2 linked regions of the Ovis aries genome follow. The protein of the gene in region 2 purifies or fractionates together with the protein of the main gene of each other region. This does not show direct contact. Links are inferred from orthologs where the notes say so. Each region holds a gene or a part of one and is shown on either strand. Other genes may lie near its edges.

The links.
Region 1: the proteins of RSU1 (region 2) and ILK purify together in Homo sapiens (affinity purification with mass spectrometry; 9 studies listed by BioGRID and IntAct, counting the BioPlex papers as one, with this or other methods). This does not show direct contact. The link is inferred for Ovis aries from reciprocal best matches to the Homo sapiens genes RSU1 and ILK.

The regions. Positions count from the first base shown.
Region 1 is NC_056068.1:46,192,463-46,207,418, forward strand, and holds ILK (integrin-linked protein kinase), read right to left. Parts: upstream 13,056-14,956; 5' UTR 12,868-13,055; intron 12,546-12,867; exon of another isoform or gene 12,541-12,545; 5' UTR 12,519-12,540; coding exon 12,430-12,518; intron 10,622-12,429; exon of another isoform or gene 8,641-10,621; coding exon 8,475-8,640; exon of another isoform or gene 8,447-8,474; intron 8,305-8,446; coding exon 8,209-8,304; intron 8,026-8,208; coding exon 7,929-8,025; intron 7,836-7,928; coding exon 7,752-7,835; intron 7,653-7,751; coding exon 7,567-7,652; intron 7,449-7,566; coding exon 7,339-7,448; intron 7,230-7,338; coding exon 7,102-7,229; intron 7,007-7,101; coding exon 6,885-7,006; intron 6,822-6,884; exon of another isoform or gene 6,790-6,821; coding exon 6,690-6,789; intron 6,583-6,689; coding exon 6,452-6,582; intron 6,283-6,451; coding exon 6,133-6,282; 3' UTR 5,870-6,132; downstream 1-5,869. Other genes in the region: TPP1 (tripeptidyl-peptidase 1), read left to right, coding at 1-98, 183-341, 510-635, 836-976; TAF10 (transcription initiation factor TFIID subunit 10), read left to right, coding at 4,520-4,751, 4,890-5,044, 5,281-5,345, 5,434-5,548, 5,732-5,821; RRP8 (ribosomal RNA-processing protein 8), read left to right, coding at 13,318-13,416, 14,570-14,939. UniProt on the Homo sapiens protein: Scaffold protein which mediates protein-protein interactions during a range of cellular events including focal adhesion assembly, cell adhesion and cell migration.
Region 2 is NC_056066.1:30,545,579-30,561,691, forward strand, and holds part of RSU1 (ras suppressor protein 1), read right to left. Parts: intron 7,783-16,113; coding exon 7,650-7,782; intron 1-7,649. UniProt on the Homo sapiens protein: Potentially plays a role in the Ras signal transduction pathway. Capable of suppressing v-Ras transformation in vitro.

The sequences.
Region 1 (14,956 bases), on a different chromosome or scaffold from region 2:
GAACATCCTTCCAAAACCCTTTCCGAATCACAGATGAGGTTGTTGACTACATCAGTGGTGGCGGCTTCAGCAATGTGTTCCCACAGCCTTCGTACCAGGTATGTGTGTGTTTGTGTTGGTGGAGGAGAGATGGGTGGAATCCTCAGTTCAGCAGATGGTACTTACTCAAGAGTGTCTTTCAGGAGGAAGCTGTAACCCGGTACCTGAGCTCCAGTCCCCACTTGCCACCATCCAGTTACTTCAATGCCAGTGGCCGCGCCTACCCAGACGTGGCTGCACTCTCTGATGGCTACTGGGTGGTCAGCAATCATGTGCCCATTCCATGGGTGTCTGGTACCTCGGTGAGAATCAGTCTGGCTCCAAACCTCCACCCAGCGAATACCCCTACCTTCCAACCCCAAGACCTTGCACCCAGAACCCCTGACTCCTCAGAGACCTCCTACCCATCCCTCCCAAAAAATCCAACCACTATGAATCCCTAACCTCTACTTGCACGCTCACCCTTGCAGGCCTCTACTCCAGTGTTTGGGGGACTCCTATCCCTGATAAATGAACACAGAATCCTCAGAGGGCTACCCCCTCTAGGTTTTCTCAACCCAAGGCTCTACCAGCAGCGTGGGGCAGGACTCTTTGATGTGAGTATGGAAGGAAGGGTTGTGGCCATTTTCATATGAAATAACAACGTTCATACTCCTAAGAGTATGTTGAGTGCTGAGATGAACTTGAGGGCAATTCTGATGGGGTGGGATAGCCTCTGGGATTTGTGAATACAGGGTAAGGGGCTATAGTCTGTTAATATCAGCAGGTCCAGATCTGATGCCCACCCTCTCCCTAGGTAACCCGTGGCTGCCATGAGTCCTGTCTGAATGAAGAGGTGGAGGGTCAAGGTTTCTGCTCTGGCCCTGGCTGGGATCCTGTGACAGGCTGGGGAACACCCAACTTCCCAGCTCTGCTGAAGACACTAATGAACCCTTGACCCTCTCCTGCTAGAAGGGTTGGCCTGTCCTCTGCCCCACAGCAGGTGGCTGGGTCCCTTATTCTGCAGTGTTGGAGGCCCTGCTGAACCCTCAACCGTTGACTGCCACAAACAGCTTATCTCCCTAACCCAGAAATGCTGTGAGCTTGACTTGACTCCCAACCCTACCTGTTCCATCATACTCAGGTCCCCCTGCCCCAGGTTCCTCAACAGGTGCCATAACCAGCACTATTTGGGAGGATCCCCTGCATACAACCACTCTCACCCCCACCCCCCAGGGCCCCCTGCTCCGTTTCTTTTCTTTTCAACCAGGCTTTTCCAATGTGTTTTCTACACTGTGTACACTATTTCACTGCATCCTCATTCCTCAATTCATTGCCATGAGACCTCTACTCTTACTGTTTTACTCTTTCCTTCCCCCTAAGAAATACTCCCAACCTTTGCTTTGTGAGCTCTCTGTCATAGAAGCCTACTGCCTCTTTTTTCTTAGCTTCCAGGGCTTAACTTCTTCTCTGACCACTCCCTCTTCCTCCTTCATTCCCTTTTCCCTCCTTCTCTTTCTCTGCTTCCTCATTAAACGTTGTTGTATTTTGTTGCTCTATCCTTTTGTAAAATTTTATAACTCTTGGTTTTTATTTTATCAAAGTATATGGGCACATTGTCAAATACTTCTTTAAGTCTTACTGCTAAAAAATAGCCACGCCTTATATATCTACCCCCATTTCCTGCTACTTGAGGCAATCATTTCAACTGTTTCTGATGATTCTTTAGTGTGTGCTAAGTCGCTTCAGTCGTGTCCGACTCTTTGTGACCCCATGGACTGTAGCCTGCCAGGCTCCTTTGTCTTTGGGGTTCTCCAGGCAAGAATTCTGGAGTGGGTTGCCAGGCCCTCCTCCAGGGGATCTCCCTGACCCAGGGATGGAACCTGCATCTCTTAAATCTCCTGCATTGGCAGGCATGTTTTCCACCACTAGTTTATCTCTAAATAACATGCTTATGTTGCTGTTTATTGATTTCCCCCTGCCCAATTATAGCCATTACTGACTTCCTATTAGCTTGTGATCATTCTTCTTCCTTGTCCCAATCACTCAAAATCCGCACCACCCATTCTTTTGTCCTCTCGATACAATTCTATTTTTGTCTGAGCTGCATACAGGATTTGCAATGGTACAACTGTGTAAATGCTAATCATACCTAATCCATGTAGTATCCTTGCTCTATCCTTTGTCTTTTGCTCTTCTCACTTGACTCATTGTCCACTGAAACAAATCAATGACTGGCATCCACAGCCATCACCATCTCACTAAATCGGACTTTCCATCCTACAGGGATTGATACCTCAAAAGCAAGATGTGTAATTCTCAATAGTTCATCTCCGTTCTTCCCAATCCCAAACTGTTCTCTTTTCTTATTTATAAATGACACTATGCTTGACACTTCCAACTGAGCCAGAAACCTAAAGTATCATCCAAGTTTCCCATTTCCTTCACCTCCTCCCATCATCTCCTTGTCAACAAGTCCTACTGACTCTATCTCTTAAATACATCTTTATCAACCCAAAAGTTCTTCCAATTATATTTCCAAAGTGTATCTTGAATTCATCTACTTCTCTCCAGCTCCACTGCTACTACATGAGCTGTGAGCCATATTCCCGCTCCTCTGAATTGAGGCCCTTGCAAGAAGTGCCCTTACATCCTGCCTTTCCCTAAACCATCTACCAGTTCTTTATTCACTAAGTTGTGTCTGACTCTTTTGCAACCCCATGGACTATAACCCACCAGGCTCCTCTGTCCATGGGACTTCCCAGGCAAGAATACAGAGTGGATTGCCACTTCCTTCTCCAGGGTTCTTCCTGACCCAGGGATGGAACATGGGTATCTTGCATTGGCAGACATGTTCTTTACCACTGAGCCACAAGGGAAGCCCCAAAACCAACTATCAGAGCAAATCTCATGAGGTCATCTACTTAATTAAGAGCCTTCAAAGATTACTGGATATAGGTCAAGCTTTTTATCATGACTTACAAACCTATCTCTTTACTTGCTATTTGTTTCCAAGTAACAAATTGTTTACCCTTCCCGGTCTCCCCACACTCCCCTCCATGCACTTTCATTCACTGTTGCTCAAGATATTCTGTGCCCTAACATTACCCCTGGCTTCCTGTGCCTGGCTGAGGTCCAGAATTCTTTCAAAACTCAGCTCACCTCTTGTGAATCTTTTGGCTCCCTGAAGCTAGTTGATGTGGGTATGACAGAAAAGTCCTAGATTCTTGGTTCTGATATAGACTAGAGAGAGCCTGGGGGAAGTAAGTTCAACTCTTGGAGACTTTTTCCTCATCTGTTAAGTGAGGATATTGATACCTGCCTCTAATATTCAGGAAATCATTAAGTGGAATAAACTTAATGGAATGCCTAACACACAGATGTAGGCAGCAACTATTAGTTCCCTTCCTCCCTTGCACTGCACACCCTGTGTCTACCTCCAGTATTTTAACTCCCATATATTGGTGAAATGGCAAGTTTAACTGTTAATGCCTCCCTTTGCAAGACCACTGGTGCCCGGAGGAGTAGAACCTTCTCCTACTTAACTCTGTATTTGCAGACCCTAGCTCAGGACTGACAAAAATAAATTTTTGCTGTGTTGAAAACCCCACTCTTTCACTAGCCGTGATTTTACATAAATTGTTTATTAAGACTGAAAGACAGCCATCCCTCTGTATCCTCGGGTTCTCCATCCACAGATTCACCCAACCGTGAACTGAAGATATATATATTTTTTAATTCCAATTATAAAAGACGAAACTTGAATTTACCATGCACCAGTAAACTATTCACATCGCATTGGATATTATAAGCAATCTAGAGATTATATAGAGTATACAGTGCAAATACTATGCCATTTCATATAACGGACTTGAGCATCCACGGATTTTGGTATACATGGGTTGGGGACGGGAGTCGGGGGAGTCCCGGAACCAATCCTACCAACCCTTCACCACCTATACGGACGGTGGACTGTACCTCTCTCCCCATCTGCAGCAGCACTGTGTCAGCTGTCCGGTTACCTTCACTTTGGGCAGCTGGCGGGGAAAGAGGCTATTCAACTCCACTACAAACCCTTAAAAGGCTGGATAAAGGAACTTAGAAAAGATGCAGACACGCAGGCGACCAACAGTAGAGAGGTGTCGGGGCGATGAGCATCAAAGCAAGAATTTTAGACGTCAGGCTGGGTGAGGGGGCCTCAAGCCCATAGAAGAGAATCCTCGACATTGAGGGGTTCCCATCCCAGCGGATCCACACTGGAGAACCGCGGGTCCGGACGCGAAATGTCCGCGCCAGCCCAGTTCCGCAACACTTGGTCTCCGCCCTCCCGCCTTTGTCAGGTAGCGGCTGGATGGGCGGGGAATAAAGGAAGGAGGCCTAAGGGAGGAGCGAACGTGGCGTGGGAGGAACGAGTCGTGGGGCGCGTGACGTCACCCCTGGTGTGTGCGTAAGGTGAACGGAAGCGGAAGCGGCTCTGTTCGCCGCCTCTCCCACCGGCCCGATGAGCTGCAGCGGCTCCGGCGCGGACCCCGAGGCGGCGCCGGCCTCCGCCGCCTCGGCCCCGGGCCCGGCGCCCGCGGTCTCGGCCCCCGCCGCGCTGCCCGCCGGCACCGCCGCGGAGAACAAGGCCAGCCCCGCGGGGACGTCAGGGGGGCCTGGGGCTGGAGCCGCGGCAGGGGGCACTGGAGCCGTGGCGGCGCGGGCCGGGGAGCCTGCCGAGCGGCGCGGGGCGGGTGAGGGCCGGGACGGGTGAGGGCGAGGGCCGCGCTTTGGGCTGGGCCCAGCGGCGGGTGAGGGCAGAGGGTAAGACACACCTAGCGGAACCCTCGAGCCTCCCACCTCCGTGTCTCAGTTTGCTGGTTTTCCTCCAGCTCCAGTGACGACCGGCGGCGCGGCGCCCCCGGAGGGGGCCATGTCTAACGGGGTTTACGTGCTGCCAAGCGCGGCCAACGGAGAGGTGAAGCCAGTGGTGTCCAGCACGCCTCTAGTGGACTTCCTGATGCAGCTGGAGGATTACACGCCTACGGTGGGCTTCCTGCCTGAACAAGGCTAATGACTCGCTGTCACGCCAACTTCTGCCACACCATCTGGATTTGCAGCATCCTCTTGTGTTTCTCTTCCTAGCTTTTGTGATTTTTCCCTTCTGCCCACCCAAACTGGGAGCTTCCTGATAGCCAGGCCTGCCCTCCATTTCCCTTACCCCGACTCTCAGCCCCGCTGTACACAGGGCTAACGCTTACAGTCGTCTAATTGATTTCTCAGATCCCTGATGCAGTGACTGGTTACTACCTGAACCGTGCTGGCTTTGAGGCCTCCGACCCACGCATGTGAGTAAACTCTGGGCAGGTTAGAGTGTTGGGTGTTTGTGTGGAGTTTATTGTCTATGCTCTTCTCATACCATTTTTTTCTCTCCAGAATTCGGCTCATCTCCCTAGCTGCCCAGAAATTCATCTCAGATATTGCCAACGATGCCCTACAGCACTGCAAAATGAAGGGCACAGCCTCTGGCAGCTCCCGAAGCAAGAGCAAGGTGTGAGGGGAGGCTCATTGATTCAGTAATTACTTCCTACAGCAGCAGAGGCTTAAATTATCCTGAAACCCCTTTGAGGGAAATTAAGCCTTAGGGGAGGTGAAAGACCTACTCAGGGTCACCTGCCTGGGATTGAAATCTGGAATTCCTGTGTTCAGCTGGTGCTCTTCCCTCTTCCCTCAGGACCGCAAGTACACTCTAACCATGGAGGACTTGACCCCTGCCCTCAGCGAGTATGGCATCAATGTGAAGAAGCCGCACTACTTCACCTGAGCCACCCAGTCTAAATGTACTTGTCTGTTCTCTTGTCCCCACACCAGCCTGTTTTCATAATAAACTTTATTGTGACAGGCAGGGCTGATCCCTCCCATGCTGGGAGACACCGTGTGGCAAGTGACAAAGCTTTGAGCCCATTCCCTTTTGGGGCCACAGTGGTAGGGATGGGGGCAGGGGATGGGCCCCATGGCTGGGGTAGTACCATGACTAGTGGCAGGGGAGGCAACCAGAGGCCTACTGCTTTGGGGAGGTGCACTCCCCTAACCGTGTCCTGACACCTCTGGAGTTCAGATAAGGACTTTCCAGCTCTACTTGTCCTGCATCTTCTCCAGGATAGGCACGATCATGTCAAACTTGGGCCGCTTAGCAGGGTCTTCATTCATGCAGATCTTCATGAGTTTACAAACGTGGGGGGAAATGCCTGGTGGGATGGTAGGCCGAAGGCCTTCCAATGCCACCTGCAAACACAAGGAAAAACAAGGTGAGTCTCAGAACTTGAGTCTCATGTCGGGAGAGACGTCTAGCCCTCAGGACAGGATTCTGTGTATTTGAATCAATGTGGCAGGAGCCCAGCCCCACTACAATTATTGTCACTACCACCACAAGTATATCCAGTTATGCTCTCACCTTCATTCCAATTTCCATGTTGGAGAGGTCAGCAAAGGGTACCTCCCGTGTCACCAGTTCCCACAGAAGCACTGCAAAACTCCACATATCTGCTGAGCGTCTGTTTGTGTCTTCAGGCTTCTTTTGCAGAGCTAGAGGGATAGGACTTATCTGTTCCAGCTGCTTGTCCTGTCTGTGTTCCCTTCCATTACTACTGAGCTGCCCCTTCTCTGCCTCACATCATAATGCCATCACTCACCTTCAGGAGCCACCCAGGCAGGTGCATACATGCGCCCGGGGCACTGGAAGGAGAACTTGACGTCGGCCATACTGATTCGAGCAGTCATGTCCTCATCAATCTGAGGAAGAGAAGATAGTTGTGTGGAAGGAGGTAAGTCCTATTCTAGGGAAAGGACCTCTGGGGCTTGGGCCGGGAGTGAAGTTGTGATCTCACCATTACACTACGGCTGTTGAGTGCATGTCGTGGGATGAGGGGCTCTAGTGTGTGTAGGAAGGCCATGCCCCTTGCCATGTCCAATGCAAACTTCACAGCCTGGCTCTGGTCCACAACGAAATCTAAGTGAGAAGGCAAGAGTTAAATCATTTGGAGAGGCTCACAGACTTTCCTTCCCCACACCCTGCTGCAGTGAGATTTGGCACTCCCTACTCACTGGTGCCTTCATGTAGCACATTGTACAGGGATCCGTATGGCATCCAGTGTGTGATGAGGGTCGGGTGAGGAGCAGGTGGAGACTGACAGGCACCAAGCACTGGGAGCACATTGGGATGTGAGAAAATCCTGGAAGAGGGAGAGAATGCCCCTGGCTGAGATCCAGCATAAAAGATCTCCCTCTGGGTGCTGACAGGGCTCCTTGAAATCAAGGCTTCCAGTTTAGGCCTTGCCCCACCTGAGCCGGGGACACTCCTCATTGAAGTCCCTGCTCTTCCTTGTACTCCAGTCTCGAACCTTTAGCATCTTCACGACAATGTCATTGCCCTGCCAGCGGCCCTTCCATAGCTGAGGGACAGATAAGGGTTAGAAGGCTTTAACTAAGGCCACTGTTTTCTTGCCCACTAACTGGAGGAGAGACTTAAAACAGGTGCACAACAGGTAATAGGGTGGGGTGGGGAGTTACCTCTCCAGAGTGATTCTCGTTGAGCTTCGCCAGGAAGTTGAGCTGTTTGAAGTCAATGCCGGAGTGTTTGTTCAGAGTCCCATTTCCTGAGAGTGTGGGCAGGTCAGGCACCCAGCTTCCCTCTTTCCCAGCCCCAGGAGTCCAGGACTATTCTCTCACCACCCCTCCCCTCACAGCTGACTCACGGGGCCGAGTGCGGGTAGTCCCCTTCCAGAATGTGTCCTTGTATGGAATACGGTTCAGATTCTGGCCCATCTTCTCTGCCCGCTCTGGGGAAGAAAGACAAAGTCTTGACCTCAGCTGTTGTGTGGAAAGAGACAGGCTAGGACAAGACGAGGACACAGCGGTGGGTGGGGACAGACCTCGGAGCAGCTCTCTCAGGGGTGCCTTGGCTTTGTCCACAGGCATCTCTCCATACTTGTTACAGATGCTGACAAGGGCCCCATTCGCCACAAGGTCCTGGAATTAAGAGATGGCTGTGATGAGGGCATTCCCAACTAAGCATGAGTGCAGATGCAGTACAAACCTTGTGAATGTTGCACACAGGACAGTACTCACAGGATGGGTTGAGGGTTCCAGAGTCTCCCACTCAAGCTCAAACTTCTTCCCACCCATCCCAGAGTTCAGGGCCTGAGTACTCACCTCTGCCACCTGATCTTGGCCCCAGAAACAGGCATAGTGCAGGGGCACATTCCCATGCTCATTCACCGCATTGATGTCAGCTTTGTACTGTAGCAGCTGGTGCCCATAGCCAAATAGAAAGAGGTAGAAGGTACAGTCAGTCCCAAATGAGAGAAGTGTACTAAGGCATGCAAGGAAGGAAGGAGATGAGTACACATACTTTGTACGTTATGTTATAATGCCTGTGTCTTACTTCCAGGCATGTGCATCAAGGGGTTCATACATACCTTCTGTACAATATCACGGTGCCCATGACTGGCTGCCAGGTGCAGAGGGGTATCATCCCCACGGTTCATCACATTGATTCGTGCCCCCCGCATGATCAGCATCTCAACCACAGCAGATCGGCCTTCTCGGCAGGCCCAGTGCAAGGGGGAGAAGCCATGATCATCCCTATGAGGAAGGCGCAAGGGTCATTGATTTGGAAGTGGGATGGGGGCAAAGGCTTTGACACAGGAAAAACTTTAATATTCTCTCTGCATACTCTTCCCTGGGAAGCCTTACCTCTAGAACTTTGATTCTCATTCATGCCAGCAACTCCCAAAGCTGTCCAGTCCAGACCTTCCCGAGTTTCAAACCCAACCAACCACTACCTGAAATCCCAACAATTCCATATGATTCACTGTTTTCATCTCCCTCTAGCCTTTCTTCCCAGGCACCTTCTATCATTAAATGGTAACATTCTTCATCTGGTTTCCTCTGCACCCCTTTGGCAACATCTGTTGGTTCTTTTCTGTTTTCACCATATCTTGTACACTGCCTTACTACATAGGTACTTGTCACACTGGATTGTAAAAATCTGTTAAATGGGCTGTCTTGTCTATTAGACTAAGCTTTTTGAGAATTGACAGCAGCTGTTCAGTGCATGTTAATAGGAAGGAAGGGAAGCTTTGAGAAGAAAAGCCACAGTTTATGGAAGAGGAAGCAAGTTTACTGATTGGTTTTGGTTCTGATACTGAAATTAGAATCTAAAAAGGGAATGGAATTAAAATGATGGTTTGGAGGGGTTTATAATGAAAAGGAGAAATGCTTTGGGTAAGTCATTCATGAGGCAGATACCGCCACATAAGACAGGATTCTTAAGCAATCCTAGGTACAGAAAACAAGAAAATGAGAATGACTTAATTAGAAAGCTGTACCTAACTTTTTTCTTTTCCCAAGAACTTCTCTATTTTATAAAGTTAAATGTATAAAAAACAACAACAACAAAACCACAATTGGGTGGAAACTAGGCCTGCCTGACAGCCTGGGGCCATAAAAGGAAATTCCCTCCAGTCCTGGGCTGCAGATCCAAGGGGCGGAGCTAAGGGGGCGGTCCGTGGTCTGGGCCGTCAGCCTCCGGATGCCTTAGTGCTGCGGTCACTTCCCGTGTGGGGGCTCTAGGCGGGGCCTGGAGCTGATCAGGGGTATGGTCACCCCAGGCAATCCAGATGTCCTCAAAGCCAAAATGGGTGGTGGGTGTGACCTTTAACTTACTGATTTCCCTCTACAGCTGCCCTCATCTGTTCACAAAGATAGCCAAAAGCTTTTCTGGGAGGTATTCCCTCCCTCTTCCTAAAGCAATCACCACCCCTTACTTATCAGTCAGTTTTGCATCCCAGTTCTTTAATTTGTGCCCCAGTTTATCAGCCTCTGGCGGTCTGTGGCCCCAGAGAAGGCCAGAGCCTGACAGCAAAAGTATGGGCACAAGGGTTCTGCCCACTGCCATGCTCCGGTCACCTCAGAGCCTGAACTTTAATCCCAAAGCGACCAGCAGGAAATTGACCCTTACTTAATATCCACCATATACCCAGTTGGGGCCCCGAAGCCCTTCCACTCATACCTGCACCACTTTCACTAATACCACTCTTTGATGCCAGCTTCATTGGAAAAAGTTACCTAACCTTTATGATGCCACCAACAAAATAGTAGCTGTGTTCTCTGTCTTTATCAGAGCACCGTTTGAAGAATTATATGAAAAATGGAACGAGTGTGAATTATAGAGAAATAGCGTAGAGTCTAATGGGGACCCATAAAGCCTGGATGAAAGTGACAGGTGATCCTTAACTCTCAAACCTAAAATCTATTTTCTCCTCACTTTAAAAAAATTCTACGATCCTGAATCAGCATCACTACTGCTTTTCTTGCCTTCCTGTCTCAGCCAACCTTAAAGAACTTGTCTACATTCACTTTCTCTACTTCACATTCAACCTGCCCAGGAGACCACTGCCTTGAGGACAAGCATTATGCCTGATTCTGGACTTCTAGCACCCAGTGCGTGTTCAGTATAGTTCCTTAAATGAAGGAACCAAGTATAGTCTGGTTTTTTTCACTTGTTTTCCTCTGAAACGGCTCTCACAGAGATCATTAAATACATAAATAATTGTAAATTCAATGGTTACACTTTAGTGCTCAAGTTCTTTGACCTCTTAGCAATCTAGAGTACCACTGACCACTCCTTTCATTGAAACATTCACTTCTTTAAGCCTACTCCAGTACTTTTGCCTGGAAAGTCCCATGGATGGAGGAGCCTGGTGGGCTGCAGTCCATAGGGTCGCTAAGAGTCGGACACGACTGAGCGACTTCACTTTCACTTTTCACTTTCATGCGTTGGAGAAGGAAATGGCAACCCACTCCAGTGTTCTTGCCTGGAGAATCCCAGGGACGGGGGAGCCTAGTGAGCTGGTGTCTGTGGGGTCGCACAGAGTCGGACACGACTGAAGCGACTTAGCAGCAGCAGCATATTTTCCTGTTTGGTCTTCTAGGTTTCTCATCCGGTTTCATATCCACCTCTTCAGGTGCCATCTACGTGCTGTGTGTGTCTGTGTGTGCATGCGTGTACATGCTTAGTCATGTCTGACTTTGCAACCCCATGGACCAGCCTTCCAGGCTCCTCTGTCCATGGGATTTCTCAGGCAAGAATACTGGAGTGGGTTGCCATTTCCTACTCCAGAGGATCTTCCAGACCCAGGGGTTGAACCCGCATCTCCTGCCAGCTCCTGCCCTGGCAAGTAGATTCTTTACTGCTGAGCCATCTGGGAAGCCCATCTTCATGCTGCTGCTGCTGCTGCTGCTAAGTCGCTTCAGTCATGTCCGACTCTGTGCGACCCCATAGACACCAGCTCACCAGGCTCCCCCGTCCCTGGGATTCTCCAGGCAAGAACACTGGAGTGGGTTGCCATTTCCTTCTCCAATGCATGAAAATGAAAAGTGAAAGTGAAGTCGCTCAGTCGTGTCCGACTCTTAGCGACCCCATGCACTGCAGCCTACCAGGCTCCTCCGTCCATGGGATTTTCCAAGCGAGAGTACTGGAGTGGGGTGCCATTGCCTTCTCCAGTCATGCTAATATCGCCCAAATCTTTGTCTCCAAGTCAGATCTCTCCTGAAATCCAGCAGCCCACTCCACATCCACTTTATTGTCACTTAAATGTGTGCAGAGTGGAACTCACCACCCTTCAGCCTTGTCCTTCTCAATAAAAGGAACCACTATCTACCCAAGCCAGAACCCTGATCATCATCTTTGACCTCACTTTCCACACCAAGTCTCACCAATTCTTTATCCAAAAGATCTCAGGAATTTGATCACTTTTTTCTTTTTTGCCTGTCCCAATTCTAGTCTAAGCCATCACCACTTGAGATGGACTAGGCAGTTAGTTGCCTCTCTTCACATCACCACTTGCTCTTCATAAAGCATCCAAGATGACACTTAACAAATGGACAATCTCATCGTACCATTACATGGCTCTAAACCCTTGCCCTTGCAATAAAAAATTATTATAGCCTAAATACTCTTGCATGATCTGACTGACCCTTGCAGACCTTTCCAGTCTTAACTTCTGTCATTCTGCACTTGTGCTTAGAGCTTTAGCCCACAGAAGCCCAGCGGTTTTCTCTCCTCTAGCCATATGGAGCTCCGGACAGTTTCTGGCACTCTCTGCTCCGTGTCTTGCCCCCTAGCTTTTGCCCATGAGGTTCACTGAAGTTAGAATACTCTGCAGATTCTGCCTGTAAATTCTTATTCAGTCAAGATTCAGCTCAAACAACAGCTTCCGGTGTGGAGACCCTCTGCCCCGCTGACAGGCTGTTTAATCCTCATCACACTGAATAGGAAAGTAAGCCGCCCGCACCAGAAGTGAGCACCCCACAGAGCGGAGAGGAGCATGTCTTTGCCCTTCCTCTCGCCCCCCAGCCACCCCAGCTCACCCCTGGTTGAGGTCGTTCTCCGTGTTGTCCAGCCACAGGCGGACCGCAACCGCGTTGCCCTCCCGGCACTGAGTGAAAATGTCGTCCATAGCAGCGTCCCGGCAGAGTCCCCTAGACTGGGAAAGTGTGGGAACTGTAGAAGGATCTTGGGGGGGGGGGGGGTGAGCCCCAGGCTTTGTCCCCTACAGGAGAGAAGTGTGGTGTTGGGCTGGGGGTCTGGGCTCTGCGTCCCCAGCTACTGGATGTCTGTAAGGAGTTAGGGAGGCAGCGGAATGGTCCTGGACTGTGTCCCTTGAGCGCGAGGGAAAGGCGGATCGGGCGAAGTAGGCGTTGATGAAGAGGTAGTGTCTTCCGAAGGGATGTCACGAGAGCAAGCACAGAGACCCTACCCGCGAACAGAGCTGGGGGGTGGGGGTGGGGAGTTTAGGCGCCGTATACCCTGGAGGAGGCGATCGGAGGTCCTTGCCGAGGATGGCCCTCGTTCCCGACTCGGAACCGAGTAGGTGGAGGGAGGGGTGACCGCCTGGTAAAGCTCGAGCCTTGGGGAGGGGGCACGGGTGCCCCCACACTCACCGGGACTCGGGCTAGAGGAGCCTTCTCCGGGGAACTCCCGTCCGGCCGCGCCCGCCGCCCGGCCCCGCCCCTGGCCCTCTCAGGCCAGCGCGGGCCTCCTTCTCCCGGCCCCTCCCTCCCGCCTTCCTTGCCCTTCTAGCCCACCAGTGTCTAAACTCGATGGTTTTCGGCACTGCGCCGGCTGCTCTAGCCACTTCAGCTCTCACTCTTTGGTTTCCTGCCCTGTTCCGGCGTCTCTGAGCGGTCTGATTCTTAGAGACGTGGTCTGCACGTGGAGAAGCGGGTGGATCCCGCAACCTTGCGCTCCCCAGCCCCATGTTCGAGGAGCCGGAGTGGGCCGAGGAGGCCCCTGTAGTCGCGGACCTCGGGTCTGTAGCCTTAGGGCTTCGGCCCACGGCAACCTCTCAAATCAAGGTGAGTGGCCCTGCAGGAGTACTCAGAACAGACTGCTGGATTCCGGAGCTGGGGCGCGCCGCGTGTGTAATTAGGGGGAGGGGGGCCGCTTGCAGCCTCCCCAGATCCGGAACTTCCAAAAGAAAGTGACGTTGGAACTGAGAGAGAATTGGTGAGTAGAAGTTAGTGAAGCAAAGAGGGTTTCTTGGAAGGAAAGGCATGTGGAGAGACCCGGGTCAAGGGAGCATGACACAGAATGAGAGGCAGTGTGGTAGAAATTGGAGGGCTACGTTAGAATATTTGCACGTTAAAGATAGAAGCCAATGGAGTGTTTTAGCAGGGGGATGATTTCTTCAGATTTGCGTTTTGAAAATGTCACTGGTTGCCGTGTGGAGATTGAAAAGAGCAAAACTGAATGGCAACGAGGGCTGTCAGTGCCGCTGTTCAAAGGGAGCTGGAGCTGAGGGAGTACTGAGAGTCTCCAGGATGAGGGATCCGTCCAGTGGGACTTAGTCCAGAACGGCCTCCCAGACAGTAGTCCTCCTTTAAGCCTCTGCCGATGTGAGGGCTGCTGCACTTGCTCAGGCTCTTTCTGTCCTTCAGTCAGCCTGTGACATGAAATCTGCCTGCTTTATTCTCTCCTCTTCAACCCCTCGACCCACTGCTGTAATCCCCGCCACTGGCCTCTGTCTGCAGCTTGTCTCTTTCAGTGTTTTTTTTTTTTTTCTTTCGGTTCTTTACACTGCAACTGGAGGCATCTTTAATACACACATGTGTGATCATGTCACTCTTATTTTCAAAAATCTTCCTACTTTTTATAAAAAGGTATTAGCTAGAGGTAGAAACCTGAGATTGAGAGTTGGAACTCCCGGTCACTAGCCTCGGTCCTGTAGCTCGTGGCCTTACAGTGTTTCTCTGGGAACCCCATCACCTCATCTATCCAATGAAGAAAGTGAGGTGGGTGGTTTCTCTGCTCTCCAGCCTCCCAAAGGTTGGGATGGCAGTTTTGAAAGTTCTTCAGGCCCTGACAGTCTTCGTGTTAGGCTAGGTAAGTTGATTGAGAATAATCCAGATGCCTCGTTACAGCATCTGAGTGAGGTCCCCATCTCTCTTCTTACTCCCTAGGCCCCATCCATTCTCCTCACCCCTGCATTCATCCCTTGTTTTCCCCCAGGGCGCCAACCGCCGCCAGCTCTTGGCCACATTACGGGCCCTGGAGGTAGCATCTGTTCCCCAGCAGCCCCCTAGCCTGCCTGGCAGTGACTCTGAGGAGGAGGAGGAGGTAGTGGGAACAAAGAAGAAACGCACGAAAAAGGGCTTGTTTGCTGGTGCGTCTAGTGAAGTAGAGGAGAAAAGGAAGAAGAAACGTCACAAACAGGGCCCACCTAGCAGTGACTCCAAGGAAGAGGAAGTGGAAAGGAAGAAGTGCCACAAAGGGGTTCTTCTTGGCAGTGACCTGGCAGAAGAAGAGAAAAAAAAGAGGAAATGCCAGAAACAGATCCCTTCAAATCTTGCCCAGCCCCTGGACAGTGTTGACCAAACAGGTAGTATTTGTGGGATG
Region 2 (16,113 bases):
TGAATCCACGTGTTTTGAAGGAAGCTTTAGGTCTGAAAGCCAAATGCCTAAGAAAGGCATTGTGGCGGGCCAGGGGGGAGGGGTGGATTAGACCTCCCAGAGGCATTTAAACACATTTACTGATAAAGAGACTGTGCCTACAATGAGGCTGCGGGGGCTGCAAGAGAAGACGGACGGGATGGTGGAACAAACTACACAGAACTGGATATGGTGGAGTCACAACAATGTTAGGAGCTGGACGGTGCTGTTACTCTAGATGTGACCGTATTTGAAGACTGCAGGGTCTTTCTGCGGTAATCAGATTAAACCTTAGAAAAACTAACCTTGTTCACACCTTGATCCTGGGACTTCTAGAGCTGTTAAGATAATAAATTTCTGCTCAGTGGCTAAAACAGCCAAAATTAGACAAAATTAGGTAGCAGCAGGGGAAAAAGAAAAGAGGAAGGCAGGGTACTTACTCAGTAACCCTGCTAAATAAAATAACCAAAACCTCAATAACAATTTATGTATTTTTCTAAACACACACTATGTCACTGGGTGGAGGAAAAAAAAGAGCATACACATTTTGAAGGTGATAAAACTGTATGGGTTCCAGATGAGACTGTTTGAAAACTATGACAGTGGAACACAACATTGTCTTGACCACAAACTTTTTACATCATGAGTCTTAAAAAATACATATGAAATGATATAGTCAAACACAAGAGAACAAAATCTAGAGGGTTCTTTCCTTAATAGTTGATGAATAAATTGGATATCAGTAAACGTCAGTGGACATAAAACTCATATTTATACTTTCTATCTGATTAAGTTGACAAAAATGCCTTTCATAAGATTACTCACTCTAAATCATAGTATCTAACATTATAGGAGAACACTTAATTGTCAAAAATTACAAAAAACAAAACCCCAACAATGCCTGAACAGAATAAGAGACCAGAGCTCAATAAAAAGTCAGCATGTAATAAAGTAAGATATTACCATGTAGAGAATAGAAATTAGACAGTTTTGTTTGATTATAAAGTGCCACTTATTAATTTATCTCTCCAATAAAAATAGCAAAGGCAGGCAATAACTCATCTTAGCTGGACAGAAAGCATCCAGCATTGAACTTGAAGACTGCTGGGAGTTAATAAAGGTTATCAATATGTAGGGTGGACCACATCTTTGAGTAGGTCAATATTTCATAGTTCGATATGATCATTTCAAGTGAGTATCATCTAAAAATGTAACTCAAAATAGTTATTTTGGAAGAGGAAGTAACCTGACAGATTTCCTTTCTGGAGTGTAGATGGAGCCTGGACTATGTTTATTTTCCTTCTGTCAAGAGGGACAAATTACCTGCATTCTATTTACCTTAAATTGATACTGTAATACATCATATTGTACACTGCAGCTGCACAAGACAGGCTGAAGGCAGGCTTGAGAGTCAATATACAAGGAAGGGGGAAATGCACACTGAGGGGAAGAGACAGACGTGGCTGTTTCGCTCTTTAAAATCACGCATAAAAGTCTCTTGTGGCATAAGGATCAGAGTAAACATCACTCTTCTTGCCTTGATGGAGCAGTTACGTTTTTTCCCATTTGCCCCTCTAAATTTATTTGCGACTCATTTCATGATAACTGCCCTAGTCGTGAAATAAAGTGCAAAAAGACTGACAGAACCCCAGCTCATTGGTCAAATATGATCCCACAGTGCTCACCCAGCACAAAGTGGCTGAGGAGGGACTGCCTCACAGGACCAGAGAATGAACACACAAACTTGAGGGAGTCTTTTCCAAAGTCTGTATTTGCATCTAAGGCATGTCAGAGTGAACGACATTTTAGCACACCTACAAAATGGTGTTTCCTGGATACTTTCAGAAATTCCAATTTAGCCTCCTGAAGCTGGTTTCCAAACCCTGGCAGAGTTCACCTTTGACCTTTACAGCTTAAGGGGATGGAGGTTCCCTCCCAGGCTCCATGTCCACTGGACATGTCAAATGGGCAGCACTGTCCACTTTAAAAACTGAACTGTTTCGCATGAGTTAGAAAATTATAGGAAAGCTTCAAAAGGCATGTACGTACTTTATACACTGAAGAAATGGACATGCATTAAGAAAAAGGAAAAATACTAACGATCCCTGAAGTACATCTGAATAACAGTGCTAAACAACTTAAAAATCAGAAAAGTTGAACTCCTTTTAAATGCAAATTACAGTAAGCAATCTATCAAAAATGGAAGAGAAAAAGAACTGTCCTGTACTCTACCTCACATAATCTGTTTTCTTCCTTAAGAGGGGAGAGATAAATTTACCAGGGCAATTAAGAGCTCATGGCTACACAAAGAAAAGAGATGATGGACCAAGTCAAAGACCAAGGTTGATGTTCTGTTCTGTCCTGACCTAACTCAGTGGAATTAACATTTGTCAACTCCTTATACTGGTAACATACTAGCTGGAGAAAAAGGAATGATACATAATTTTCATCATTGAAAGTTAACATGAAATAAGGGATCTGACGTGGTACCATCCAAAACATAACATATTTTATGGGTTTCCTTTTTCTCTTTGGTATTTCTTAGCAAGGTTTGTTAAATGAACACATTTGCATGCAAACAGGTCCAGAAATGTCAAAAGCTTGAATCATTTTTTGTATTATGGAGGAAATGTGAGAATCCATTTATTAACTTAAAGAAAGAACCACAATCACACATGTAGCATCTATAAAGGAAATATAAATTACCAGGAGCACGATACACAGTCAGCTTTTAAAAAAAACAATCTTTATGTCTGAAGGCGTTAGTTAGGAAAAATTGGTTCTTCTTTTTCATGACTAATGTAAAGAAATACTGTGCTTCTCTGGCTCAGGTAGAGCTATTTTCAGATACAGTAAGAAAAGGGAAAAGTCTTTGTCTTCTTGCATATCTATTGTCACTACATAAAAGAGGCCCACTAACTGCTAGCAAGGTCCTGGCAGATTAACCCTCTTCTGCAGCCTTCTGTGATATTTATAAAACCATCTGCTTGTGCAGTGCATCCATTTTTATACTTCACCCGAAAAATAGTGTTTGGAGAGTTTTATCAGACAGGATTTCCTTCTGCAAAGGGCTATCTTAAACAAATGGGATCACCTATTAAGTTCAAAATTTTTTAGCCTTTTGGTAGACCAGCTGTATCTATTATGTAAGGACCTTCTAAGTCAGCAGCCATTACAGGATATAGTAGTTAAGAAAGCCCAGGTATGGCTATTCTCAGACAGTAAAGAATCTGCCTGCCAATGCATGACTCACCAGTTTGTGGGTTTGATCCCTGGGTCAGGAAGATCCCCTGGAGAAGGAAATGGCAACACACTCCAGTATTCTTGCCTGGGAAGTCCAATGGACAGAGGAGCCTGGCGGGCTACAGTCCATGGTGTTGAAAAGAGTTGGACAAGACTTAGCGACTAAACAATAACAGCATGGTCTCTCTGGCCTCTAATAGGTTTGCCCAAGGTGCAGAACAAAAGAAGACATTCCTTGGTTTTAATTGTGCAAGTAAAACAGCTTGAGAAACAATATGAGGCAGAATCAAAGTCCTTATTCCTCCTTATGAACTAAACAGGATGATTTATTTTGCCAGATTTCCAAGGGAAGAGAAATTTGCCTGCATTTTCCCATCAGTGCCCACCACTCCCCAAGCACTGCTTGGTTAAAATGTTTCCGTTAAGTAACCTGAATAATAGTATGAATGTCTTTGTATGGGACTGAAAAACAAAAGAGAAAAGCAAGTGAGTGTGGCACCTTTCGATGGACAGCAAAGAAAGTCACAAGATGGGAAGAATGATGGGGAAGGAGCTTTTGAGTTATGCCAGCCTGGAAATGAGGCTTTAGGACTGCCAGGCATTACAAATTGCAGGCTTCATGAGAATGCCTGTTTTCCAAATGTCGCTTTCAACCGACACCGTTTCTGCTTAACATTTGTCAAACCTCTTCTTTTGTTAAGAGTTAACGTGTCAGCTTTTAAAATGGCTTGCAGTTTCCATCCACCTTCCTTGATGGAAATGTGAAAAGTGTGAGTTACTCCCTTTCACAAAGAATCTTGTCAAGGATCCTGACTCCAATCTGACTTCCCCTCTCGGCGACCAAAAAAAAAAAAAAAAAAAAATCTGCCTCCTGTAAGCTTAACAAGCGGTGCCGATCTGATCATAACTCTCACAGAAACAGAAGTTACTCGACAATAGCCCGAAAATGCTAACACACTTGTAGGGTTTGAGCGTCAGAAGGAGCGACATCCAGAAGGAGCGAATTCCTTTGACAGAGGGAATAAGTGACAACGAGCGGGCAATGCGATGACACCAGCCAATATGCTCCCTTTGCTGAGAGTACGATAAATGAACAGAGGGAGCTCCGTCTGAGGAATCATCAGGATGCGATGAATGCCCCAAATGTACCCCCAAAACAACCTCCTGAAGAATTGCCTCTCAGCTCTCTCCCAGCCCACACCTGCCCACAGCCCCTCCTGTTCCATCCTCATCCACTTAAATCCCTGCCAAGTATTTTAATTCCTCCTAAACACTGACTTCCCTGTTTTGTTTCAAACATCCATGTCACCTCTTGGAGTCTGTTAGAGTCTGGAAATGAGATAATTCATCTTCCCTGGACTGTCGCTGCTCAAGACGTGGAAGGCCTCTTAGGATGCACTGGGAATAGGAAGGTCACCTTGAACCTCAACCAGGGACACGAAGGGAAATGAAATGAGCTGGTGAGTTCTTAATGCTCTCATTTAGGTAATGGGTCGATTGGTTAGAAAGGGGAGGGAAAAAAAAGGAGATTCATTGGTATTTCAAGTGCCAGAATAAAAAATTAAAATACGCTTTTATGACAAGCTAAAGATCAATATAGTAAAAAAAGGATTTTTTAATTGGAAGGGGTGTACGTGACTTATATAAAAAGAGATGAGAAAGTGAAGATTAGAAACTACAGGTTTTAGAATAAAGGATCTAAGACTAAGGTACCAAATGAGACATTTGCCTTGTTTAAAAAAATATCGGTGTAACATATAAACTGCCTCCGTGCAAGTCATCACATGTACAGCTTTACAAAAGTAGCCAAATATCTGCTAATTAGATTTAATTTTTCAGAGAGTTGAGAAATCCTGTAAGTCCTCTAAATATGAAGTGACTGCTTAAAAAGAAAGAAGTTTGATTTCTAGTTACATGAGGATATACAAACATATTCTTCTAAAAGAGGACCTTAAATTATAAAAATCAGTAAAACATAGTGATGGCATTTTTGCACAAGTGTATTTTTTAAGAAAACAGACTGAGCGCTTGAGGCAGTGTCTTCCTTGGTTCACAGTCCCTGTGTCTGGCTGGTATGTTGATCAAGGAATGAAGGTCACTGCTCCACTGGGAGAACAGGGGGGCAGAAAGCTGGGATAAAGAAAGTGGTTAACATTCTTCTCTTTCCCAAGGAGGAGAAACGGGGAGAACTCTAAGAGAATTCACTTTAGGGAGGTCCCTGCTCCCAGGAGTTTAATGTCAAGGGCATTCTCCCAGCAGAGGCGCACATACTCCTCTCAAATCAGTGAACAGAGTACTGACTGGCACCCCTACAAAGGGGACAAAGGCTCTCCCACGCTTCTCTAAGCGGTTTCATGGTGATTTAACTGGACAAAAGATAACAAAATTCTCCAAGAGGAAATCATGTAAAATATAAGCCAGTGGGCAAACTGCTGAGATGACTCTGATCCTCCAATATCAAATGCTATTGAAACAGACAAGAATATATACACCAGACATGTCATGGACTAAGTGGATCACAGATTCCCTTGCAAATAAAGTATCAACAAACTCAGTCAACACCTCTCCTTTATCCAGAATCCTAACAATGTTCAAATAAACAGAAACTGTCTGTAATAGCACACAATGGTGATTAATTGCCTAATGACTCTAACGTACTCAAAAGCCATACGTTCACAGTGTAATCTCTTAAAAATGAAATGAAAATTAGAAGCACTTTCTTATGCACTGTATTCTAATTCTCTGTAAATTCTAAATTAGTGTATTAGTATAAATTCTAAATTAGGGTAGATATAAAAAATCATTAACCAGAATAAACAACAGAGTATTTCCCCCAATTCTGGATTAACAGTAGCTTATTTATTTTTCTGTAGTTATTATGTACAATGTTTTTCTAACAGTATACCACCCTACAAACCAAACCATTGTATAACCTTCCATTCACTAATGAAACTTTAGAGGTTAATCTAAAACTGATGTTAGCAACAATTAAGAATTTAAGAGAAACCAAACGAATAAACAGCTAATTTGCAATTATACTTTCACACATTTTCATGATGAACTAAACAAATTTCCAACCCTGAGCTATGTTCATTAAAAAAAAAAACTATGTATGTATAATAATTGCTCATATCTATGTGGTTCATGAAACAATAACACAGACCCTACACATCTCCCATTTTGACATAAGATAAATACTAAGATGTCAAAAAAAAAAAAAAAAAGTTAAGGTATCATCTTAAAAGAAACCTAAACCAGGCTTCAAGTTGCATTCATATACAAGGATATGCATCATTTTGGCAATTTCAGTTTATTCTGCTTGAATATCATTGTTCTTTCACAGTTTACCTTCTCTGTGATTCTGTCTGCTGGAAATATACCAAAAGGAGTCCCAGATGTGTAACCAGGAACGTGGCAGCAGGAGGACTCATACTATCAGAACCACCACTGGCCGTTCATGGGCCAGGACTCTGCCCTGCCAGTTAAATCTGACCCACTGTTCCAACACAGATTTGGAGAAAGCCATGTTGAGCCGGGGGGCAGGGGATAGCTCTGATACTCAAGAGAAAAAAAAGGGAAAAAAGAGAGAAAAAAGGGACTGCTCCAAACTGACTACAGCCTTTAATGATCCCCACGGTCTTCTTAAGAGTTGGGATGTTAAATTCTCACAAGTTGGTACTGGACACAAAAACAGATTAAACTTGACTATGAATTGTTTCAAGTTTTTTGCAATTGCTTAAAACTAGAGGTGGCTAGATTTCAGCATTAGAGGGTCACTGAAGCACTGAGAGCAATGATCACTTCAATTTGGGGGTGGCAAGTGGGAGGAGCAGAAAATAGTAACAGAAGACACAGTAACAACAGAGCAAGTGGAGGAGGCAGAATTCCTTCTCACCTGAACACACTGAGGAAAAGAGAGGCGGGAATACCTAGGTTTTAATGCTGGACCCCCCAGGGGCGCCCTGGACCCGAGGGAAGGACCTGAAAGATTTTGATGCTGTGAGTTAAGCCAGCTGATCCCTCCTCGTTTTCTGTCTTATCGTTTCTCTTCGATTAAAAAAGAGAATTATGCTTTCTTAGTATGCTCTACTGATTTTATAAATAAACCACTTAACAATTTTGTTCACAACATTTGTTATTCTCTGCATTCAAAGGAGAAAAGAATATGTTCTGATCTTAATGTGTCTGGTTAATTTCCTTAGTGCCATGAATATTCAGCCAGTTTAATACCTTAAAAGATTTCTAAACAAAACTAGTATAAGTTTCCCTTGACAATGTGAATGAAAAATAATCTATAAATAAAGACAATTACTATGTGTGGTTGTTAAGCTGGCATAATTATAAATACCATAAAACCAGTCTATTTCAGAAAATCATAGTCTACTTACTATTTGTATGTCTCAGAGCGGATGTATTCAAAAACATGGGACACGCCAAGCTGGAACTGGTCAGCGATAGGGGTAACCCAGGGATTGTTCTCTGCTTTGAATATCTGCTTCTGACCAGTTAAATCCAAGTTTCCTAAAAAGATGGAGAGAAAAAAAATGAAGGTCATCTAACCAACAGAAATCAAATTCAAGAAGTAATTCATGCCCAGTAACCACAGCACAACCTTAAGCATCTTCTGAGTCATTTGTTTTAAAAATATTTAGCCCAAGTCATTGCTGGTCTACAAGCCATGTCAGTGATTGCATACTGACACAAGAAATTAGGAAGGAAGGGAAGGCGATAAGGAGAGAGGGGTGAGGGAGTAAAAGAGGTAAGAAGGAAGTAAACTTGGAAGGAATTCACACAAATGTAGCATTTGCTTCATTTCTTCCAGTATTTGCTACAGGAACAAAAACAGCCTTCCAGGATTGAGAGAACCCCTCATATCAGGACATCCCCCAATTTCACCTTGACAGTGTGCAGCACCATCTGTCCAGTAAGACTGAAACCTGATCCAATCAACACCACTTTTCATCAAAGCAGGACACAAGCGAAGAAAGATGAAAACACTGCCTCATTCGGGCAGCATAGCATATCTCAGAATCAGCACTAAACGCATCTCAGTAACATGGTTAAGGGTAGAAATGCACACATATATATCCTACCTATTCACAAATTACCTGTAAAAAGCATTTCCTCCTTTGATTCTCCAGCAATTCCTAAAGTCAGTAATTGACATCACTTTACAGGTAAGAAAAACCACAGAAACTTGGGGAAATTAAGTAACATCTCTAAGAACAGAAAATGTCAGAGTAGGGATTTGAATCTAGGCCTTCTGACTCCGAATCTCTTATATATTTCTAGATCAACCAAACATGAGCTAATGAAGGGCGCCAGCATCGGGTACCACGTGTTGCTGGATCAGTTGATTATGTATATATTTCTGTTTGGTGTCTTTGAAAATGGAAAAGGGAAGTGTGAGAAAGAGCTTCCAAGAACATGGTTGCCTACGAGAGAGACAGACAGAGATGCTACACAGTAGAGCTGCGTGTGGTTTAAATGGCAGTCAGCTGGCTCACCGACATCCTTGCCCTCAAAGTCCTACTGAAGAAGTCCATTTTCAGACCCCTGGTCTACAGTCTAAGGTTTCTGAACACAGACACCTAGCAATTATTCATTACAGGACACAACCCTAGTACCATTTCTGTCCTGTTCTGAGGCTCCAACTGCCAATTTTGTCATAACAAGTAACTTCAGGATATGGAAAACATACTCTAAGGATGCAAGCATTCTACAAAGCACATCATTTCCCAGCTAATCTGAACTTCAGAAATGAGAAGAAAATGTTTACTAGGACAGTGATGCAGTATTTCTTCTTAAAACAAATGATGATACTCTGACTCTGCCTTCTTTTTGTTACACTGACAGACCTTGCTGTATCAATGCTTCACTTTATTGTGCTCTGCACATACTAATTACATTTCTTATAAAGTGAAGGTTGCGGCCACCTCACACCCAGCAAGTCTGTCGGTGCCATTCTTCCAACATCACTTGCTTACTTTGTGTCTCTGGGTCACATTTCAGTAATTCTCCCCATATTTCAAGCCTTTTTATCATTATTATTTATGTTATGGTGATCTGTGATCAGTGATTTTTGATGTTACTACTACACGTCACTGAAGGCTCAGATGATGGTCAGCAGTTTTTATCAGTAAGAAAATTTTTAATATTTGATTATTTTTGGCTGCACTGGGTCTTGGTTGCTATGCATGGGCTTTCTCTAGCAGCAGTGAGTGGGGTCTACTCTCTAGATGTGGTGTGCAGGCTTCTGATTGCAGTGGCTTCTCTTGTTGCCGAGCACAGGCTCCAGAGCTCATGGGTTTCAGTACCTGTGGCTCGCGGGCACAAGAGCTCGGGCTCAGCAGTTGTGGCAAACGGGTTGAGTTGTGGTATATGGAATCTTCCCAGACCAGGGATGGACCCAGCAATGGCAGGTGGACTCTTGACCAATGAACCACCAGGGAAGTCCGTCAGTGAGAAATTTTTAACTAGGTATGTACATTTTGGGGCTTCCTGGGTAGATGAGCTGGTAAAGGATCCACCTGCAATACAGACAGACCCCAATTCGATTCCTGGGTCAGGCAGATCCCCTGGAGAAGAGATAGGCTACCCACTTCAGTATCCTTGGCCTTCCCTGGTGGCTCACACAATAAAGAATCCACCTACAATGCAGGAGACCTGGGTTTGATCCCTGGGTTGGGAAGAGCCCCTGGAGGAGGGCATGGCAACCCACTCCAGTATTCTTGCCTGGAGAATTCCATGGACAGAGGAGCCTGGCGGGATACAGTCCATGGGGTCACAAAGAGTCAGACACAACTGAGCGACTAAGCACAGCACACAGCACATGTACATTCTTAGACATGGCGCTATTGCACAATTAACAGGCTACAGTATAGTATAAATAAACTTTTTATATGCCGTGGGAAACCAACAAACTTGAGTAATCTGCTTTATTGTGATGGTCTGAAATGCAAACTACAGTTTTATCAGAGGGGTGCCTGAATGAATGTGAAGCTATCCAGAATAACAGAGGAAAAACAGACCAATGGAAAAGTGATTCCTATTTCATAAAATGCTTTTAAAGAAAACCGATATTATGAAATAGTAGGAGTAATCCATCATGATATTTCCAAAGCTATTTAAAATCTGCTGGTTAAGTACAAAATAAGCAGATACATTTCTCTCCAAGATTATCAATATTGTCAATTTCCTCAACTTAATGGTTAAACATCATTAGTCAGATATTTAATCACTTGGGAAATTAACGGGCTTTATTCTCTACACCGTGAGTCAGAAGACTGCTTGGGATAAGTGGAAGTGCAAATGTTGCACATATTGGGCTTAGCCAAGTATCCTACAAAGGTGTAACATGGCTGGCAGTGGACTGCTGTTCATATATTTTGCTTTCATCTTTACTTGGACAAGAGACAAGCTTTTCCACTTCCCCAAAATCAAATTGATCGCTTGTTTAAATTTTGCTATAACTCTCATTTCCTCATTTGCTATACCCTATGTCCTCCTGTCCATATCATTGTCTCATTACTTCTTTTTCTCCAATTTCCACATTTCCTAAAAATGAATAGAAGTTTCTGGGGAAAGTCTTAAATTTACAAACCAGTCTGTATTTCTGAAGCGTCATGTTTAAGTTTTTAAAATATTTTTCGGCTGTGCCACTCGGCATGTGGGATCTTAGTTCCCTGACCAGGGACTGAACACGTGCCCCCCTGCACTGGAAGCTCAGAGTCCTAATCACTGGACCACCAGGGAAGTTCCTGACATGTTGTGTTTTAAATGCACAGTATATTATGTTGTGCGGTGTCCTTAGGCAGTACGGTCACTGAGGGAAGGGCCAAGTGACCAGGTGATAGTAACCACAGGGCAGAAATTCTCTAAAAAGTTGGGGGGTTACTAGAGGTAAAAGCCTCTTTCTTAAAACATTCACCTAATTGACAGCCTACACTTACCCAGTATCCTCTTCCTGCCTCCGAGCCCTGCCCACTTATATCATGGAATCAACTGTGAAAAGAAATAATCAATGAGACCTTTGGAAAAAATATGTCTTCTAAAATGGGTAACCAAAAAAAAAAAAAAGCCACGAAAAGCATAAATTACATAAAGATGTGAACTAATTCCTAAGCAAAGGAGATTTCCCTGATAGAGGTGTCTCTGCTCTAAATATCTTTCTTCCTCATCCCCTGAAACTGGTTAGTCTAACGAAAACTCCAGGCTAACTTTCCCATGGGTAGAGTGTATCTGATGAACAAGCTTCCTGGACTCTCTGTCATTCACACACATGACCATGAACTAACTTAACTGGACTGCTTTCTTATTTAACCTCTGCTTCAGATGCGTATCACAGGAAAATGACTTAGAAAACCGCTGAGGAAGGAGGAGGGTCAAAAGAGGAGAAGTAGCTGTGTCTGGAGCACAGAGGATTTCTTGGCTTGCTGTATTTTCAAGGCTCTGGGTCAGTGTGAGAGCAACGTGGACCAGGGAAAGTTTCGGAAGGACCTCACAGACAAGCCTCAGTTTGTCCAAATTTGCCCAGGAGAGCAGGAGAGGAAGATGACTCTCTTCTTTCCTAGATTGCATCACCAGCTCCCTCCCACCCAGGTGCAGGGTTTGCCTGAGACAGACTGGCTTCTGGGGCCATTTGCTACAAGGCTTCCACCTGGACATACCTCTCCTGGAGGAACACAAGACAAAGAAACTATATGGGACTAAAAGCAAGTGTGTGCAAGCACAGCTGGGGCAAACATGGACAGAAGATACACAAAGACCAAAAAAGCCCTATTGCCACTTCTAAAGAGCCTGGAGCAAAAATAGGGTATTGGCAACTGCAAAAGCAGGGTGCTGTGCACCCTACCCTGCACTCAATACCCCCTAAGTGTTGGGCAAAACCCTAAGCCACCCCTCCAGCCCGATCCTTGGACACACTCCTGTCTTCACCCCATATAAGGAACCAGCTCCCTCACCCCTGGGGAGTGAGCAAGGGAACCCATCACCTGTTCTCACTCCTCCCTGCTGCAACGGGAGCCCCGATAAAGCCTTGCCTGAATTTGTCTGGCCTCTAGTCAGTTTCTATTGATTGGAGAAGGACACGAACCCTGATCGGCATCATGCCCACTAATCCAAAAGTACAGGTATGTTATGAACCGGTTTAATGGATCATCCTTGAACTCAACATACAGGTACAGGAAAGAACAGCCTGTACTCTGCTACCAGCAACCTACAAGCCTGCTTTCCAAGGTACTTCATCTCATGTTCACTTAGTAACAGCCTCTGACTAAGCCTGTAGTCTTTTTAATGGTAATCCTCTAAAAATAATGTACTTAAGTTCGACGCTCCCTGGTTGACACATATGGAAAACAGACCTGGGGGAATAACATCAAGAAAGGAGGTCAGCTCTGTACCCTGGGCCCTCTTGTCTGAGACCTCGAACCCTCCAGAGAGCTGTCAGTCCCCAGCCATGTCTCTATTTAAGCACTATCAATGGAGACACAAAAGCCAGAGGATGACGCTAATGACGCCTGCTAACTGGAGCACGCAAGAACTGAGGGATGCAAGCTGGACCTGGTTGATTCGGGGAAGAGGAATCTTATACTGATGAAAGTCGGAGTACCCAGAACGGACCAGAGGCTGCTTGTGAGCATTTTCATTTCTATCACTTCAAACTCATCTGTGCACTCTAGCTGGGGGAGGGGGAGGTTGGAGGGATGGAGTTACCTTCCCCCACCCCCATTTATTTACCTTAGAGTCAAACAATCCTCAGTCAGATTTAATAGCAAACTTCAGATTCACAGCTGCTTCGTGGATACTGGAACTGGGAAGCCTAGCAGAAAAGCATGATTCATGTTCACTGACATGGGGTGTGTGTTGGGCAGGCGGGTGGTAAGACCACACCGTAGCTTCGTGGTGGATGCTATGCTCTTTTCTTAACAAAGAACCAAGAAACCCATGCTTCAGGTCCACAGCGCACCTTAAAGCAGGCAACTATTACAGATGACAGAGATGGAAACCGCACGAGCCAGAGCCTGCGCCGGCACCGACTCTACGAGCTGTAAGTGGACTCGGAGGAAGGGGACATGCCTGTTTTATTTTCTGAGTTAATGTCACTGGTGAAGGATGTAGTACCTGCTTCCGTACAGCTGCGATCCTCCCAGCTGGCTTGGTGTCTCTCGCTTTCTCACCTCCCTCTGAACGAACGCAGCAATTTCAGAAGAGGGTTAAGATAATTAGAAGAAAGCTCGGCCATCATCCCATGTGAAAAGCTGACACCTGGCTCCTGGGGGCCCGGCAACAAGTTCCTCCGACCTCAGCCGAGCTCATCCATCAGCTGTCTGAGGCGGGTTCCCTCTGCAGTAATAACATGCAGGGAGCATCTCAGCATCCCGTCAGTCAGGCTGCGGGAGCCCTAACTTGCCGCACGCTTGGCTGGCTCCAGTTAGGAGTCCTCACCCATCTCCTTATTAGAAGCCTGAGTAGCGCTCGGGTGCTGTTCTAACAAGGATCAGGCGGCAGGATTAAGCACTGTGACAAAGAGGATCTAATAAGCTAGAAAGGGGTGCACCCACGGACACGCTAGCTGCCTCCCAGACGCACATTCCCTCTGCTTGCTCTCTGGTGGGGAGGCCCAGGCCACGTGGGGAGCCAGCCCGCGCCGTGATGAGTGGTGACCCTCTGACCGGCACTGCCCTTAAGATCAGCTGTCACTCACAGGCTGCTTCTGAAATTGCAAATTGGATTTTCCATTTTATTACCTGCAAAGGCACCACATATACTTCATTCCAGAGCCTTGAGTATAGCAGCTCTGCCATGCGACTGTATTTTGTAAAGGCTAAAGCATGGAAAACAAGCATTCCCCTCGCTAGTGATACATGTGATCAGATGGAACAGGCCTTGTGGCCCCATTGATAAGCAGACTTGTTTGCACGTATAGAAATGGGTTGTTTTCATAATCCTACTGATAACAATTCTTCCTGAGTACTCCAAATCCTGAAACGCGTGGCCAGGAACATCATTTATTGCATATTAAGCAATCAAGGCAACCTGGGCAAATTTTTCATGTCATTGAAGGATCATTCCCTCCCTCCCTAATTCCAAAATCCGCAGAACACTTTTTAAATGAGTGCATGCTAACAGCCAGGCTCCCTCGCTCATGGAACTCTAAGGCCATCGTCTAACAAGGTAAAACTAGCAAACCATGGCTGATGGGGTACTCTATCATCAGTATACTGGATTTGCTGAAACTCAGGAAACTGATTCGCTGCTGAAGGGGGTCTAGATGGGACATTATGACAGCTGAGAGATCACCTCTGCTCTGCAGTGAATCAACACACAGGAGCTAACCACAAACAACTCCGGCACAATATAAAAGCGACATTCAGGGCTGCTCCGAATATAAACAGATATTCTACATGTAGATCCCTAAGCTTATTACTGTATAAGAGGCTTCTAATTACAAAAGTGCACGATGACAGCTGGAGATGGAAAGCGTCTATCTTTTTCACTTCTTCAGCAACAAACTTCACTGAATGGAAAATGAGCAATGAGGCTTATAAAATCATGCTCACATTGGAATAACAAATGTTTGCTATAATAAAACACTGGAAACAACCAGAATGTTCAATAGGTGAGAAGCAGCATAACATAGCTACTCAATGAAGTGTTATCTGGTTATTAAAACAAATGACAAAGACTTGTATGTTTTGACTTAGAAAGAGATCTACACCCTAATTTTAAAAAATTCAGGGTATGCTAAGTTTGTTATGATTTCATTTTTGGAAAAAAGTATAGAAGAAAGAAATCTCATATTAGGTATACGAGGAAATGTTTAAGTCAGAAAGAGAAGAGAAGGACACGTATCAAATTGTTAATACGCATTTTCTCAAAGAGGGGAAATGAACGTGGGGAAGGGATCTGAACTCACAGAATACAAGGGTAAATTATTTATTTTCTTTCTCAAGAACCCCATGTGATTACAAGTCTGAATTATTTTTACAATTAAATAAGAATAAGGTGAATGAAAAGGATACCATCAAAAATAATTCAAAATACAGGACGGATGCTAATTAGTACAAAGGCAGCACCTTTTATTTAAAATGGCCTCATCCCACTGCAGGAACAGCCTGATGGTCTGCTAAGCGCTAACTGGATTGAGAAACAGGGTCTGAGGCTGCTGCTTTTTCTGGGCATCATCGATGCAGTCCAAGTAGGCTGGAATGTCTCATGACAGCTCTCAAATTTATTCTGTGGGGAATTCGAGGCCACACTGTCATTCTGGCAATTGTCTGCTTAGCCTTCTGGGAACACATTTTTAAAACAGGCATTTAGCTCTCTTAATACATACGATGCACTGCTGCTTTGTGAAACATACTAAAACTGTGACTTTTCCGATCTAGTCAAGGGAAGCATACAATTTAAATGAAAGAGACTTTTTAAAAAGCTCAACACCCTGCCAAATGGCTTCAACAACAGTGGCCTCTGATTTATGTGTGTACTGTGTGGAGGAGTCCAGAGGCCCTTTTAAAGCATGAAGAAAAATATCACTTTACAGTTTTCCCCAGTGCCCTTCTTGGCCATATGACATCTGTGTTGCAGGTTAAGATGGACTAGAAAAGGGTCTCTCAGTCGCTGGTAAATACAATTCCCCATCAACAGAGCCATGGGCATCCTGAGGGCTCACCACCATCGCTGCTTTATTCAGCAAGTCCCTGTCTGTGGAGGTCCAGTGAATAACTCATGTTGTAAACCTGGCCTTTGTGTAGGATTTCCCCATTATTCTTCTAAAGGTGGGAGAAAAAAACCTTATGTTTGCTTAACAGATTTCCCTTTTATTGTTTATGTAACATCAGGAAGCATATT